Linked DNA regions of Cricetulus griseus. The protein of the gene in region 1 binds, or shares a complex with, the protein of each later gene. Links are inferred from orthologs where the notes say so. Each region holds a gene or a part of one and is shown on either strand. Other genes may lie near its edges.

Region 1 (3,763 bases):
AAATCTCTCTGTAACTTGGGCAGGCCTTGAACTTCTAATCCTCGACTCAGCCTCTTGTGTCGATGGAATGACAGGTCTGTGTCACCCAGCAAGGCTCTCCCATTGTAACTGCACAGTCACAAGTAACCTGTTCACTTCATTTCCCTTCTGTTCAAATGGGGTTTCTTCTTACCCCCAAGAAAATTTCTGACCCCTCTGACTCTCATGCAGTGAGATTTTCCCCCTCATTCTGGATAATTCCTTCTGGACACTTCTACAGAGTTGGTCCCACTGACGGACCTTCCTGGTTTGTCGCTGTTGTTACTACTCCAAGCGCCAGGTCCAAAGGGCTGACCAATGCAGTTCCCACAGTGACCTCTCCTGGGTTCTCATCCAATGGCACCTCCCCCACATCCCAGAGTGCTTTCCTCCATGATTCCACAGCTCCAAAGGGGAGACTGAGGCAGAAAGACCTCAAGTTCCAGGCCAGTCTGGGCAACTTAGTGAAACCTTTTCTCAAAATTAAATCTAAAACGAGGGCTGGGGGTGTGGCTCAGTAGTGCAGTGCTTGTCTACAATCCTTCAGTGAGGATCTGAGGACAAGGCTCAGCACTAGGGCACCTGCCCAGAATCCGTCAGTGAGAGACCCAGGAGAGGTCCCAGCAATAGCGCCAGCCTGGATGCCATAGGATCATCCCCAGTACCACTAAAATCTAATATCACAGGTAGTTACTTCCTGAAGCACAGTGATGGAACCCACGGTTTCCCAGAACCCTATGAGCGCCATTAGCTCAGCCCATCGCAAAGCATCGTGGAAAAAGTAGTTTCTTCTTGCTCAAGGGTTGAACAGAGCGCTAGCTGGTTGAAGGAGGAGAGACACTATGGAAAACTTATGGGGGAAGGCAGGAATGACCTGTGGAGCAGGTGCGGGTGGCTGTTGATGGGAAAGAGAGGGGCAGCAGAGAGACTTGTGGGACAAGGGGTCCTGCTCACCCAAACGGCCTCTTTGATGAGCCGGGCCAGACGGCCCAGCAGGCGTGGCAGATGGCCCAGCTCCAGCTCCCTCGCCGAATGCTGTACACACAGCGCAAGCAGAGTGGCAGGCCCGAGCGGGGGCAGGTCTCCTGCGCCCGAAGCTGCAGCGCGCACGATTTCGCCCAGCAGCGCCTCTTCCTCTCGTGGTCTGAACCTCAGCACCGGCTCGCGGCCGTCCAGGTAAGCGGCCAGTGCCTCTCCGCGCTCCTGCAGGCCACGGCCACACAGGCGACAGGAAAAGGCCCAGCCTGGCCCGGGTGGCGCGGCCCCGGGGCGCGAAGGCAGCCAAGGTGGCCGAGCAGGCCCAGAGCCCCCGGCGCGGGGGTCCTTGTACATAAACAAGAAATGCTCTCCCAGGCCCAGCAGGTCTCCAGGGTGCAGCTCCGCCTCGCGCAGTAGAAGGCAGCCATTGTGCGTTACCGGGGCACCCCGGGAAGGGCGCACCATGGCCGGGGGCTCCGGGCCGGCGCGCACTGTGCAGTGTCGCGGCAGTATGTCTGGGGCGTTGAGAAAGGTGTCCACATATGGGGCTGGGGACCCACCGCGGGACGATGAGGGCCCACCTCGGCCGAACACGTGTTGCTCTCGGGTCATCACATACACCACGAAGTCCTAAAGGAAAGTAGGTGTTGCTATGGCGATGCGTGTGTCCAAACAGCATCCTTACCACACTAGACTCTTGCTCCAACCACACTTCCTCTAAGTGATGAAAACCTCAAGGGAGGTTTCCTGGGTTCTCAAAGGACTCTTTGAGCATCCCTTGCACATGAATAACCTCTTCCAAGACACTCTGTGGCTTCATCTTTTGGGGGGTAAAAATTTAGGGGGAGTGGGCAGCAGCGCCACAGGGTTCCCATAGATGTCAAAGGATAACTTGTGAATTAGTGTTCTCCTTCCACCTTGTGGGTTCCGGGGATATAACTCTGGTCTTTAAGTCCACATGGGAGTTAAAAAAGCAGTGGGTGCTTTTACCTGTAGAGCTCTCTCTAGCCCTGGCTCTGCCCTTTAAAAAAGACCCTTCACGGGCTGGAGAGACAGCTTAATACTGGCAGCTCTTCAAAGATTCTCCCTGTCCATTAATAGAAGCTCTCTCCAGAGACTGCCACAGAGATGGTGGGCTCTTCTAGAAATGTCTATATATGCTTCAAAGAGGCACCCTTCTTATTTCATCCTGAATGGAAAGATACATTGCAGACGACTCTGGTCTAAAAGTGGTCTCACCTCCATCTTTAGAAATGGATGCACCATTTGACCCCCTTTATAAAATAAACCTACTGCTCATGTTCTAGTGGCACTCAAATATGTAATACACAGAAACATGGCCTGGATGGCACAGGTATGTCAGGCCAACTACTCAGGAGGCTGGAGCAGGAGGGTCATAAATTCAAAACCAGCTTGGGCAACCATTGAAGCTCCTGTCTCTAAGTTAAAATGGTTCAGCAGTACACTGCCTGCCTGGAACCCACTAGTGAAGGCTTCGGGGCTTTGCTCAGAGCACTTGCCAGCAGGGGCAAGGGCCTGTGTTCAATCCTCAATACTGCAAAAATAAAAATGCATACAGGTGGGGCTGAAGAGATGGCTCAGAGGTTAAGAGCACCAACTGCTCTTCCAGAGGTCCTGAGTTCAATTCCCAGCAACCACATGGTGGCTCATAACCATCTGTAATGAGATCTGGTCTGCAGGGATACATGCAGACAGAATACTGTATACATAATAAATAAGTAAATATTTTTTAAAAATGCACACAGGTTTCAGTGTCTCCTGCTTCCATCAACAAGGGGTCAGATGGTCCCCATGTGAACCTTTATAAATGAATTAGCTGATTTCTCCCATCAAGACAGCTGCATTTCCAGAACAAGGATCTAGGTACCAAAGATTTCTCTGACGTAGGACACAGACTTTCCTTGAAGAAACAGATGTTTGTGAGGGATGTCCTTTTGACAATAGACTGGCCTTTGACCAAGAACATGTTTTCTTTTCCCTCTGAATGAAAGGAAGCATTGCTATCCCTTCAAATGGGACCTTGGTATCCCATTTGACCTCCACCTCAGCTCCTAACAAGCTATTTCCTACTGGGAACTGCCACTATAATGGAAAAGGCCTCAACCCAAGGCATTCTTGGTAGTGTGGTTTGTTGACCAACCATGTCTGGTGTGGCTCTATGACTAGGGGAGATAGGGCTAACCTGAGCATCCTGGTAGCCCTGGAGCAGAAGGAAGTAGGGACGGTTGCTGGGTGCCTGAATGAGGCACTGAGTCAGTTGGTCGAAGTCTCCAGGGTCTGTTGGTACCATCTGGGTGTCAGCTGCCCCAGGAGCCATGCTAAGTGCCTGCTGCCTGCGTTCTTGCTGCCGGCGCCTCCGCCCCTGCAGACTCAGCTCAGACACACTGCGACGCAGGGACAAATTTTCAGATCGCTCTTTGCCCCCGGACCCAGTGGGGGTCCCTGATCCTGATCCTGGACCTGGGCTGGCCAGAGCCGCCCCACCAGATGCAGCCCGAGACCGATTCTTCTGTGTTCGCCAAGATGGGGCATTTGTGCCTACAGAAAAACGAAAATCACAGAGGCTATTCCCTGGCTCTCGACCTCCAACTTGGAGTTGTCTGCTTAGAAATTCATTCTTTTAACAAGCATTCAGGGAGCAACTACTGTGTGTCAGGGACTGGTCTAGGCACCAACAGTGCAAGTGTCCTCAGGACACTGGAAACAGCCACCTTCCTAACAATGTCTCCTAGCAGTTCTTAGGCCC
Region 2 (4,454 bases), on another chromosome or scaffold:
TGGCCAGTCACTCAAGTCTAATTGGTGAGGTTCACTGAAAAACCCTGTTTCAAAATAAATAAATAAATAAATAAATAAAAATAAAGTGGGAAGCAAAGCTTATGTTGACCTCTGGTTTCTCTGTACCCACACTCAAGTGCACAAGCACACACATGAGTGTTGATTATAATGCTTTCTCCTTTTCATTATACTAAAGGGGTGACTACCACACTCGAACACTTGTTAAAAAAGAACTGGGCCATTGAGCTATATCCCTACCTTTTTTTATTATTTTATTTTGAGAAGCTCACAAAACTGTCTAGGTTAGCTTTAATTTAGTCTGTGGCCGCGGCCAGCCTAGGATTTGCGATGAGCCACCTCCTGCTCAACCTGCAGAAAAGGTCATCTCTTACAGACCTGTGTCCTGAGGCTCAGCTACCATTCATTCCTATCCACTCACTTAACCCAGGTTACCTTAGTTGTTACTTCTTTAAAAAGAGTGAAATGACACTCTTCATTTCTCTTCCAGAGTTCATAAACTTCCAGACTAATTTGTGCAGCACCCAGCTAAATTGCTTATATTCCTCCGAGCTTTCCTCTCTTAAGTCTTTTTTTCCCACCAAAACCTTTTCAATAGTTGGCCTTAGTGGTTCACGCCTTTAATCCCAGCACTCCAGAGGTAGAGGCAGGCTTATCTCCTTGAGTTCAAAGGCAATCTGGTCTGCATAGCAAGTTCAGGGCCAGCCAGAACTATATGATGAGGTGAGACCCTGTTTCAAGAACAAAGAACAAGAAACAAACTCTTCAAAACAATGCTCTGATGGGGCTGTTCTCATATTAGAGGTGGTGGTGTGACAATATTCTAATGATCTAAGTGTACGTAAGTTCTTGTGCTCTTTCCGGAATCACATCACAGACTTACACCTATGAGTAATCTATAAAGTCACGAAGGCGCCCCAGGCGTGCACTTCAATGAACCACTTACTTTAATCCTATAAACAGTGTTAATTTAGGCACAGGGTCTAAGCATGCCTGGGAATCATCCATTTGTGAACTGCATCTGGTAGGGCAATTTGGACAGCTCGCCCTGGGCTCAAATACTTGTCAAATCCAAAGAAAGGCCAATTGAAAAATGAAAAAGCTGCTCTGGCCCGGCTCTTTCACTGCGCTCTGGGAGTGGGGACTGCGGCTTTCTCTCGGTTACTTCCCCAGCTACTTTCCCCAGCACAAAGGACCACGCAAACACCGATGACGGTCTGGGGGCGTTGGCGACAGAATTCCAGTGTGCACTCGGAAGCCCGGAGAAAGCTTCAGAGGGTTTCTAAGCCCTGAGCTCCCCGTTATCCGCTGGGGTCGAGAGGGATGCTCTCTGTTGAGGCTGACTCCAGATTCCGTCGGACAGCCAGCAGGCGGAGGCGAAGCTGATCGGAGCACCCGGGGGGCGCAGGCAGGGAGGGAAGGGGGACCAAGGGTAGAGCCAGCCGGCAAGAGGCCGGGCGAGGCCCAAGGCGAGGACCAGCCCGCTGAGGGCCCGCCCCCTCAGCCAAGGCCCCGCCCCTTCCCCGCCCCTTCCCGGGCTGTGCTCCTGCGCGCCCCGCCCGCGGGCGGAAGCTAGAACGAGGCTGAACGCCTGACGTCAAGGCGACACCGCCAAACCTCGCCCAGAGTCAGGCGTGGAAAGCAGCCTGAGCGGCGGCGGCGGCGGCGGCGGCGCGGCGGGCGGGCGGCGGCGGCAAAGACCGCCGTGGCGCCGGGAGCAGCGAGCCGAAGGGAACGCGAGCGACGGCGACGGCGGGACCCGTGACAGCGCGAGAGGTTGGCGGAGTGCGTGCGTGGCTGCGAGGCTGGAGGCGGGGGAGGGGGCCGGGCGAGTGAGCGAGCGAGCGAGCGCCGGCTGGAGGGGAGCGGTGGGGTGCGGCGCCGGGCCGGGCGGGGCAGCCGTAGAGAGCTGGGGGGAGCTCCCGCGGTGGCGATGGTGGCCCGGGCGCGCGGCAGGTGGCCGCGGGGGACGCCCGGCGTCCCCTCGGTTCCCCGGACGAGCTGCCTCGGAGCGGCCGGGGAGGAAGCTCAGCCGCGGCGGGGAGCAGCGCGCTTTGCGGAAGGGGTCAAATGTCTGAAATATGGCGGAGGAAGTGAGCGCCCGAGGAACCCCCACCCGCCGCCCGCGGCCGCTCCGCAGCCTTCCCCCGCCGCGCCCCGCTCCCCGCTCTCCCCGCCGCGGGGTGGGTGGAAGTTAGAGCGGAAACCAGAAAGTTGTCCTTTGCGGACACCCGGGGTTCTTCCCAGCTCCGGCCGGGCGGAGTAGCTTGAGGGGGGGGTGGACCACTCCCCGGCGCCCCGCGGGCTCGAGCCTGACAGCGAAAAAGTTTGCCCGGATCCGGGCTGGCTTGCTTCATTTGTTGCGGGAAGTGGCAGGAGGAAGGCAACGGAGCGAGCCCCACCTAGTCTGGCAGCCGCCACCGTGCAGCGAGAGAGAGAGGAAAAAAAATGTTAAAGGGGCCTTTCCCTTCGTCAGCAAGAGGAAATCTCCTTTTTCTCTTGCAGAGAGAAAAATCCAGGAAGTTTGCCCTCTTCTCCTTATTTCGCCATCTCGATATGTCTGATTCTGAAACTGACTTACCAGCGCCATGAATTCTCTTTGAAACTGCTCCCAGGGAACTGGGCCCTCCGGATTTTCCTTGGGGTGGAGGGGGAAGATGCCTTTCAGGAGAAAGATCTTCCCTTCAGAGTTTGAGCGGATGGGCTTGCTTTCCTTTCGCTTGCCCCCTCCCACCCCTCCAGTACTTTAGAAAGATATTTTGGCCCCGCGACTCCTGACTGGTGTGAATACAAGCACTTCTTTATTACAGTAATAGGAAAAATCACATTTTTACTGAGTTGAAAGTTGACATTACAGTGAAGGCTGAACTTTTAATATTTTAAAATTAATTGAGCCTCGTTGAATGTTTGCTTTGCTGGCAGTGGGTATTAACATATACCGAGTGTTTCTAACTTGTAAATTCTTTTTTTTTTTTTTTTCAGTTTTCTTTTGTATAATTAGAACGTTGTTGAGACTTGCCTAAAAGGAACTTATCTTAACAAGAAGTAAATTTATTTGAACGGAGAAATTCTTTTTATTTAAAGCTAACTTGGATTCTATGTATTAAGTCCTAATAGAGTCATGGGACTTTTAAAGGGCCCGAAAGGCTATTTAAATCATCTGGTCCCACCCTGTCATTTTATGGAGGAGAAAAGTGAGGCCTAGAATAAATAAGATAACCAGTTACCTGAGTCCTCTGACTTGTAAGGCAGTGATCTATCCCGAAGAGACAATCCACAGGAAGAAATGTGACATTTCAATGGTGAATTACTTCTTGCAAAAGATATCAGTCCTATTATTCTCTCCAAGACAGAGTGTCTTAGTTAGCTAAACAATGTGGAATAATCATTTCGGTAGTGTCATCCCCGGATTTTGGCTAGAGGAAGTTAATACTCTGGGGAGGAAATCATTCTAAAGACACAGAATCCCTAATGACTGACTTGTCTGAGCTTATCCATACTTTTAATCTCTGTGGTACATTATAGGCCCTTGTACTTTCTTGTTGACATTCACAGTAGTTTAATAACCTTATCTGTGGAAGCCACAAAGTAAATGGCTGAAGGACATATAGATAGCTATTTGGGTTTTAATGTGCCTGGTATCAGAACAACAGCTGAAGGGCCCAATGCTAAGCCGGCTAATTTTTTAGTGTGTGGTCTGGAGCACGGAAATGATGGCCAAGTTCTTTCCCCTTTTTCTGCCTAACTTATCTCTCTTCCTTTCAGTGGCTTGTATCACTTCCTGACTTGTGTTACAGTTGTGTATTTTTATCTAGTCTACTAAATTGTATGGTCCAAGGCCAAGATCTATTTCTTTTGTATGCCTCTGATGGCTAGTATGTTGCTGATCCACAGATCCTTGATGGAAGTTAAGTGCAGTTAAATGAAAACAGGAGGGTTGGAATTCTGTTGTATTCTTAGTTACTAGTACTTCACCTGGGCACTAGTGATATTTGGGACTTAAGTGTAGAGATGAATGGAAAATTCAGAGAAACTAAAGAAAACTGTAACTTTTTAAAAAGAATTACACATTTTCTTTGGGCTCACTCACTTTACAAATTGATCATTTTATCATTGGTTATTTTATAATGATTCCAGTATTTTCTTCGAACTATACAGAGAAAGTGAGTCTTCCCACCAGAGATCCTGTAGAGGCTATCAAGTTGAAATACAAAATCAAAATCTTTTTTTTTTTTTTTTTTTTTTTTAAGTGATGCTGGGCATGGTATTTTGCAACTGTAATCCCAGCAGTTAAGAGATCGAGGCAGGAAGATTTCGGGCTAGCCTGAACTAATGAAATGCTGTCTCTAAGTAAATACATAAATAACTTGAACTATGTTTATGAAGATCTTTTAAAGACTGAATGCCTATGTACAAATTGATAGCATGTAACTGAC

What was found. The genes of interacting proteins can lie anywhere in the genome.
Region 2: the proteins of Rasip1 (region 1) and Rap1b are in contact, whole or in part, in a crystal structure (PDB 5KHO), measured with the Homo sapiens proteins. The link is inferred for Cricetulus griseus from reciprocal best matches to the Homo sapiens genes RASIP1 and RAP1B. Residues at the interface, in NP_060275.2 of Homo sapiens: Val147, Lys149, Ala156, Ser157, Gly158, Ala159, Asn160, Tyr161, Lys162, Ser163, Val164, Leu165, Glu181, Arg182; in NP_001010942.1 of Homo sapiens: Val24, Gln25, Asp33, Pro34, Thr35, Ile36, Glu37, Asp38, Ser39, Tyr40, Arg41, Glu54, Leu56, Phe64.

Annotation. Positions count from the first base shown.
Region 1 is NC_048599.1:154,532,439-154,536,201, reverse strand, and holds part of Rasip1 (ras-interacting protein 1), read right to left. Parts: intron 3,556-3,763; coding exon 3,200-3,555; intron 1,627-3,199; coding exon 973-1,626; intron 1-972. UniProt on the Homo sapiens protein: Required for the proper formation of vascular structures that develop via both vasculogenesis and angiogenesis.
Region 2 is NW_023276806.1:138,528,885-138,533,338, forward strand, and holds the start of Rap1b (ras-related protein Rap-1b), read left to right. Parts: upstream 1-1,651; 5' UTR 1,652-1,794; exon of another isoform or gene 1,795-1,803; intron 1,804-4,454. UniProt on the Homo sapiens protein: GTP-binding protein that possesses intrinsic GTPase activity. Contributes to the polarizing activity of KRIT1 and CDH5 in the establishment and maintenance of correct endothelial cell polarity and vascular lumen.